Linked DNA regions of Oryctolagus cuniculus. Each later gene encodes a partner of the first gene's protein in a complex. Links are inferred from orthologs where the notes say so. Each region holds a gene or a part of one and is shown on either strand. Other genes may lie near its edges.

Region 1 (3,287 bases):
GTCAGCGCCCGCACCCCTTTCTGGCATCCTGCAGGTGCTTAGACCTCAGGGAAGGAGCCTAGGGTGGAGCCTCCGCCCCGCTGCCCAGCCCAGTCAGCGTCTGCTGGGGTCTGAGCCTGAGCCACCAAGCACAGGGCTGGACCTGTGACCTCGCTATCACACTTAGAACCAGAAAGCTAAGTGTCTCTCCGAGGTTGTTAAAGGGGCCCTGATGGACATCAAGGTCATGGCCAATGCCCAGCTTGTGCTGTTGAGTGTGTGTGCATCATTTCTCTCCCTGCCCTCTGGGGAGAGGCCTGGCCTCACCTGCACCTGCATCCCAGGCCTGCCTGCTCTTTTCCTCCCGCAGGCCCCGCAGGGTGGAGCCGGTGTGCTCGAGCCTGCAGGCCCAGATCCTGCGCTGCTACCGTGACAACCTGCACGAGGCACTGCTGTGCTCAGACCTGGTCAAGACGTACCAGCACTGCGTGAGCGCCGCTCACAAGGTAAGGCCTTGCCTGCCTCCCAGGGCATGGGACGCTGGAGACACGGGGGGCCTGGAGTGTGGGAGACCCCTGTGCCAGCCTTGTTTGCCATAGTCAGACATTCTACCTGGAGAATTCGCCATGGGCGGATTCTTAGTATTAGGGTGTCCTCAGTCCCCTCCCCATGCCAATGCTCCCATGAGGGCCTTGGACATCTGGCCCAGGGGACGCAGTCCCTGTGCGCTTTGCCATTGGGCTGAGCCAGGAGCAGTGCTGGGCAGCCAGGCCCCGCCTCCAAGGGCAGTACCTAGTTAAGGGCACACCTGTGCCCCAACTCCTCAGCTCTTCACACCCGGGGCCGGGGAGCGTGGAGGAGGCCCAGAGTACAGGGGGGAGTTGTGGCAAGGGCAGGGAGGACCAGCAGTGGACGTGGCCCCCACAGCACAGCCTCAGCGCAGATCTGAAGTGAGCAGTGGCCCGGGCTCCCTGGCAAGCAGGCCTGGCTCTGTGCTCTCCAGGGCTCAGCCAGCGGCTGCAGCTGTCCTAAAACCTGAGGCCACTCCCGGAGCTGGCCCAGCTCTGGCCTCCTGCTCCGCGCCTCCCATGTGCCCAGCTGCGCTGCCCTCTCTGGCCGAGTCTGCCCGTGTCCCAGGCCCAGCTGCAGCAATGCCTCCTGATGCAGCCAGGCCGCTCCAGCGCTGGCAGGCCCTTCGTTGGCTTGTGTGTTAAAAGGTACAGGAAAGGCCGCAGGATGGGTTCTCCTTGCCCACAGAAAAGCCTTGTCCCACGTAGGAAAGAAGCTAGAACATCTAGCTAGGCATCTGTGGTGAAGGCGGCCGCGGTGCGAGGCTGTGTGTTCCCCTGCCGGGTCTGCAGGTAGCCCCTCTCCCATCCCACTGAACCGTGTCCCCGGGGCCTTGTGAGAGCTCAGGCCACCGCCCCGCTCCGCTCATGCCTGCCTGCCAAGGCGCCCGCACAACCCCAGCTCTCACTGTCCTTTAGCGCCCAGCAGCAGCTGGTCACGGGCCAGGTGCCTGAGAGGAAAAGAGGTTTTCTCCTGTGTCATGGAGCATGGAAAGCTGCTTGCCTGATTTTGAGCGGAGCGCAGAGCTGGCATGAGCTGTCCCCGCAGTCGTGCGTGCGGGGAGCCAAGCACTGGCAGGCGGGACCCCGTGGCATGGGCCCTTCATGCTGCTTCTCAGCAAGATGGAAACCTTCCCACAGATCCTATCCCCCACCCAAGTGATGGGGGCTCCAAGTCCCTGCTTGTCACACACCCGACCTGTTACGAGGGGGAGGCCCTGGGTCCTGCTGGCAGAGCCCGGCCCCCAGCTCCCCAGGCCTGAACCCTGAGCTCTGACACGCACTCTGCTAGCCTCCACCTCAGAAGGCTCCTGGTGGAGCCAGGGATGGGGGAATGAGGGGTCCTTGAGAGGAACCTGCTTCTAGAAACAGCCAGGTGGCAGGGGATGAAGCCCACCAGCTGTGGGGGCTGGGAAGGGTACAGCGCTGTCTCCTGCTCAAGGCTCAGGCCACCGCCCTGAGCTCCCAGAGGCAGCGTGGACACCTGTGCGGTGCCCTCCAGGCCCAGACCTCAGAGCCACGGACAGAGTCACACAGCATTTCAGCAGCAGGGACCAGACTGTGCGCACTCTGGGGTGCCAGTGTACACTCTGTGTGCTGCCTAGAGAATCCTGAGAGTTGTTGAATGAGCGAGCAGAGGCGGCCCTTGGTGCGGCAGAGCGGAAGTGGGTTGGGGCTGTTGTGTGCCAAGGTCTGCAGCCGATATGCAGGTTCCAGAGCACAGAGGAGCGGAAGGCACGGTGCTAGCTCCCGTCACCGCGGGCGCATGTCGAAGGAGGGCCTGTCCCCCCGCCTGGCTCTAAGTCTCAGATGTGTGACCAGGTCTCAAGGGATGACGAGGGAGACCAGCTCACAGTGAGTGCAGTGAAACGTCACCACCTGAGATGACTCCAGGAAGAGAGCTGGAACTGAACTCTGACCCCTTCTGCTTGCAGGGTTGAGGAGCAGCCATCACTCCTGGCCCTGGCGGTGACTTGGAGCCCCGAGGAAGGGCCTGCTCGTGGGACCACAGTCCGCAGACCCTGGGCCACAGCCGCCGTGCCCTGCCATTTCCTGCTGGGGCATCCACATATGCCTCTGAGCTTGGGGCTGCCCTGCACTTGGGAAACAGTATGTTCTCGTGTCCGAAAGCGAATAAAGCAGATGTCTTTGTTTGCAGTCATTCGCTCCCCAGCAAACAGTCCCTGCTGCCTGCTCTGTGTCCGGCCCGCTGTCGGACATTGGCAGTCAGAGCCCTGTGAGACAGACTGCTCCTCTCGGGGGGAGCCTGGCCTGGCAGGGGAGACGTCCGGAAACCTGTAGTCACACTGTGCAGCGGAAGCAGGTATGTGGTGCACCGAGGGGCAGGCAGCTGTGTTGGGGACGGAGCAGGGGGGAGACAGGCCGCTTCCCGGGGAAGGTTCTGGGTGCGCAGACACAAAAGTAGAACAGATGAGCGAGGGGCCTGCCAGAGACTGGAGCCCCGGATGCAGGGAGGGCGGTGCAGGCCCAAGCTGGGGCTACTGCAGCTGTCTGAGGAGAGCTACGTGGGGCAGGAGGCGGGGGACGGAGCTGCGAAGGCAGCAGGGCCAGGCTAGGGGCGGCGAGTCCTGGGGCAGGCAGGGGGCAGCACTGGCAGATCTCCGAGTGACGTCGCCCAGCTCCCAGGCACGGGCTGGGCTGAAGGCAGGGGTCGGTGCTGGGGCCAGCAGGTGCAGGGGCACAGACAGGGTGGGTGGAGAAGCCTCACTGGCAGGACTC
Region 2 (4,428 bases), on another chromosome or scaffold:
TAGATTGGGAGTAATAACTGTGTCCACCTACTTGGGTTGTGTGAAAGAATAGCTGGATGTATGTAAGGAGCTGAAATCAAAGATGTGCACATAACAAGTGCGGTATCAGTGCTTGCTATTCTTTTAAGATAATTATTGTGATGATTTCTTACTTCGGAAACATTAAGGAACATTTAACTTCCAGTGAAGGGCTTATGCTTAAGTATTTATTTTTATTTTTTAGAAGAGTTTTATTTAAGAAATATAAATTTCAAAAGTACAACTGTTGGATTATAGCTGTTTTTCCCCCTAAACCTCCTTCCCACCCGCAAACCATCCCAGCTCCTACTCCCTCTCCCATCCCCTTCTTCATTAAGATTCATTTTTAATTATCTTTATATACAGATCAACTTAGTATATACTAGGTAAAGATTTCAACAGATTGCACCCACACAGACATACAAAGTGTAAAGTACTGTTTGAGTAGTAGTTTTACTGTTAATTCTCATAGTACAACACATTAAGGACAGAGCTCCTACATGGGGAGTAAGTGCACAGTGACTCCTGTTGTTGATTCAACAATTGACTCTCTTGTTTATGGCATCAGTAATCACCTGAGGGTTTTGTCACTGGCCTTATTTATGTGATCCCTTTGACACTTAATCCTATATGATCAATTATGAATTTAAACTGATCACTTTAACTAGTAAGATGGCATTGGTACACGTCACCTTGATGGGATTTGGAGTCCCATGGCACGTTTCTAGCTCTACCATTAGGGATAAGTCCGAGTGAGCATGTGCTGAACTGTACATCTCCTCCCTCTCTTATTCCCACTCTTATATTTAACAGGGATCACTTTTCAGTTAATTTTACACGCCTAAAGCAATTGTGTGTTAATTAAAGAGTCCAACCAATGGTATTAAATAGAAAAAGAAAATACTGCAAATAAAATAGTAATGCTTAAGTATTTTAAAGAGAGAAAAAAGCATCCTTGGCGACTAAACTTAAAGCCTGATAAATGTCTAGCTCCTGGTAAAGACCTAAAAAACAGGCAGCATTGTGACTGCCACGTGGGTGCTGGTTCCAGTCCTGAGGGCTCCATTTCCAATCTGGATCCCAGCTGGTGGCCTGGAAAAGCAGAAGATGGCCCAAGTGTTCGGGCCCCTGCACCTGCGTGGGAGACTCAGCTGAAGCCCCTGGCTCTGGCCTGGGCCATTTCTGGCCTTTGCGGCCATCTGGGTAGAGAACCAGCTGATGGAAGACCTCTCTCTCTCTCTCTCTCTCTCTCTCTCTCTCTCTCTCTCTATCTCTGTAACTCTTTCAAAATAAATAAGTAGATCTTAAAAAACAAAACAAACCCTAAAAACCTTTGAGAGGTAAATCCAGGGCTCCTATCGGCGGCTTCTGGCTGCGAGACTCTGGAAGAAGCTTGAGGCCCGCTGAGCGCCCCCAGCCGGAGGCCTCTGAGGACGGGACTCCCAGCCCACACCTCCGGGCGCCCAATCCTGGAGGCGAAGGCTGACTCCCAGCGCCCAGCGGCGCCCGGCGCCTCCCTCCTCGCGCCTCCCTCCCGGCGCTTCCTCGTGCCGCCCACACTGAGCCGGGGCTTTCTTGCCGCCTAGCAACCACCGGCGCAGGGGCGGAGCGTCACGGAGGGCGGGGCTTGCGTCCGCCCGCCGTCCGGGGCGCTACGCGCTGCCGCTCAGTGACGTCGCTTCCAGTCCAGGGTGGTTGAGCTAAACTTTCGCCTCATCGAGTTGACTATACGTTCGTCACCCGCGCCGCGGCACGCCTGCGGTTGGGTGAAACAAGGCCCTATCGGGCCTCCGTAGTCGGCTTTTTGTGGTAGGCGGGGCCGAGGCCGGGGTGACCCTGCCGGAACCGCCGCTGCCAGCAACATGTTCAAGGTGAGAGCATGGAGTCGGGTCACAGTTGTCATCGCCCCCTCCCGGCCACCGGGAGCCCTCCCCGCGCTCTCGTGGGCCTTTCCGGGGACCGGGCACGGTCCGCCCCAAGGCTTTTCCCGCCTGCAGGCAGGCTGCGTTCCGGCCCCGCGGTCCATTCACTGGTCATCTTGGGGCGAGTGGCTGCCGGGCGGAGGCGTGAGACTCGGGGGCGGGTCGCGACGGCCCTTTTGGGTCGTGCTTCCGTGAATAAAACACTTTGAAAAGTTACGACACTCTCCGCAAAGCACCCACCCCTTCGGCTGGTGCCTTCTCGGGATCGTGGGCAGGGTGAGGCTAGTTCCTGGCGACGTGGGGTTTGCTACTCTGGTTGCCGGGCAGCATCAGATTTCAAGAACCTGGTATGTGGGTGGGGGAGGGTCGCCCTCGGAGTGGCCGCTGCAGGAAGCGGGAGGCTAGTGTGGGAATGGCTGGCTGGGGAGGGAAGCTCCACATCCCAGTGACCATTATCCGTGTTTAAATGGACGTGTTGACTTTCTTAGGATCTATGTGCTTGTGGCCTTTAATAAAAGGACTTTTACAGACAATGAAGACTTTATTTCCAAAAATCCGTATTGTAGCATTAAGCCATTTTTTAAAAATTATTTTTGCAGTCACAAAAAACAAGTCATAGGCTATCAGAAATTAATCTACGAAACTGAGCGTTCAAGAGGCATCATACCCGTAAAGTAGTGCTAATGACATCTTAGAACTGTGCTGCTCGCTTAAGCTTTATTGAGCTCTTGTATGCTTTCAGCACATTAATAAAGACCATAAAATCAGAACATCGGTTCTGCCTGCTAGCCTTGGCCTTGGCCCGTCCTGCTGTGTGACCTTGGACAAGGCATTTAACCTCTCTGCCTGTTTTCCTGTTGGTGACAATCGGGATGATAGCATCTGCCTCATAGGTAGTCGTAGGAGGAAGTAGTTGTGCGTAAGACGCTTGAGAGAGGTCTTGGCATGTAGACATGCCTCTGGTTTGTTTTCGGCGAGCTCACGGTTTAGTCAGCAGGACGAATCCCATAAGCAACTTCCATTCATTTGACAAGTTGAGGTTAAACACCTATTATGTGCTAGCAGCTCAGCTTGGCTTTAGGCTTACGATGAAGCCTATGCTGTGACCAGTTCAGCTGCATGGGTACCAGCTATATACTGTGGTCGTAAAAAAGGGGAGCAGGATCTTTTTGGCTTAGCCAGGAGTTTCTAACCTGGGGTCCTCAGTCCTTCAAAGGGTCTGTATATAGGGGGGCCCCTGGATTCTGATGGGGGAAAAACTTATTTTCACCCCATCTTCAATGAAACCAAGTGTTTCCTTCAGTTGTGAATACCTATTACCTATTACTGGGTAACAAACCACTGCAAAGCAGTACCCTAAAACAATGATTTATTATTTCTCAGTCTGGGCTGGTTGAGCAGTTCTGGCATCTTCCAGGGGCTGAATTGAGCAGGGGGCTTGACTGGAAGGTACTCTCTCTCCCGTGTTTGGAGGCTTGGTGTCCCTCCCTTGTGTCTTCCTCATATGGTTACGGGCCAGTCCTAATGTACAAACACCTGCATCATTTGCTGATGTTAAAACAAGCTGCATAGCCAAGTTCAGAGTTGATACGGTAGTGGACTGTACAAGGGCATGGTTAAAAGCAGGTGTGGCTCATTGGGGGCTTATTAATTTAACAAGCCTTACAGCAGCAAACCACAATAGTATTAGTGCCTGTTACTAACAGAGGTCACAGTACTCAGGCCCGCATTTTGGCGCAGTGGGTTAAGTTGCTACCTGTGACACCAGCAAGTGCTGGCTCGAGTCCAAGCTGCTCCACTTCTGAACCAGCTCTCTGCTAATGTGTTGTGGCCTGGCTCAGCTCAGGCTGTTGAAGCCATATGGGGAGTGAACCAGCAGATAAGACAGTCTGTCTCTGTTTCTCTTAAACTCTGCCTTTGAAGTAAATATTTTTTAAAAAGTCACAATACCAGTGCAAGTCAGAGACATTTTTATATCATATTACTGTTGTTGCAGATCTCAAAATATCATTTATGCTCATCACTACAAAATTAGAGTGCTTGTAAGATTCACTGTTAACATCTTTTTAATGAGTTAGTGAAGTACATATTACTACATCAAAAAAATTTTTTTAGAGATATATTTACTTCGTTGAAAGAGTTACAGAGAGAAGGAGAGAGAGAGAGAGAGAGAGAGAGAGATCGATCTTCCATCTGCTAGTTCACTCCCTAAGTGGCTGCAGTGGCCAGTGTGGAGCCTGGCCGAAGCCAGGAGCTTTATCTCGGTCTCCCGTGTGGGTGCACAGGCCCAAGCATTTGGGGCATCTGCAGCTTTCCAAGGTCATTAGCAGGGAGCTGGATCAGAAGTGGAGCAGCCGGTACACAAACCAGTGCCCAAAGGGGATGCCGGTGTTGCATGTGGTGGGTTTAGCTGCTGTGCCACAATGCTGGCCTTGTACACCAGAAATTCGAATTTTGAAAATATGTTTATTTGTAAAGGGGAGGCAGA

What was found. Proteins that work in one complex are often made in the same cells at the same time.
Region 2: CHCHD6 (region 1) and APOO share a complex: the UniProt entries of both Homo sapiens proteins name them as parts of the mitochondrial contact site and cristae organizing system (MICOS) complex. The link is inferred for Oryctolagus cuniculus from reciprocal best matches to the Homo sapiens genes CHCHD6 and APOO.

The regions. Positions count from the first base shown.
Region 1 is NC_091441.1:109,939,281-109,942,567, forward strand, and holds the end of CHCHD6 (MICOS complex subunit MIC25), read left to right. Parts: intron 1-349; coding exon 350-485; intron 486-2,482; coding exon 2,483-2,488; 3' UTR 2,489-2,709; downstream 2,710-3,287. UniProt on the Homo sapiens protein: Component of the MICOS complex, a large protein complex of the mitochondrial inner membrane that plays crucial roles in the maintenance of crista junctions, inner membrane architecture, and formation of contact sites to the outer membrane.
Region 2 is NC_091453.1:10,138,586-10,143,013, reverse strand, and holds the start of APOO (MICOS complex subunit MIC26), read left to right. Parts: upstream 1-1,628; 5' UTR 1,629-1,880; coding exon 1,881-1,889; intron 1,890-1,952; exon of another isoform or gene 1,953-2,287; intron 2,288-4,428. UniProt on the Homo sapiens protein: Component of the MICOS complex, a large protein complex of the mitochondrial inner membrane that plays crucial roles in the maintenance of crista junctions, inner membrane architecture, and formation of contact sites to the outer membrane.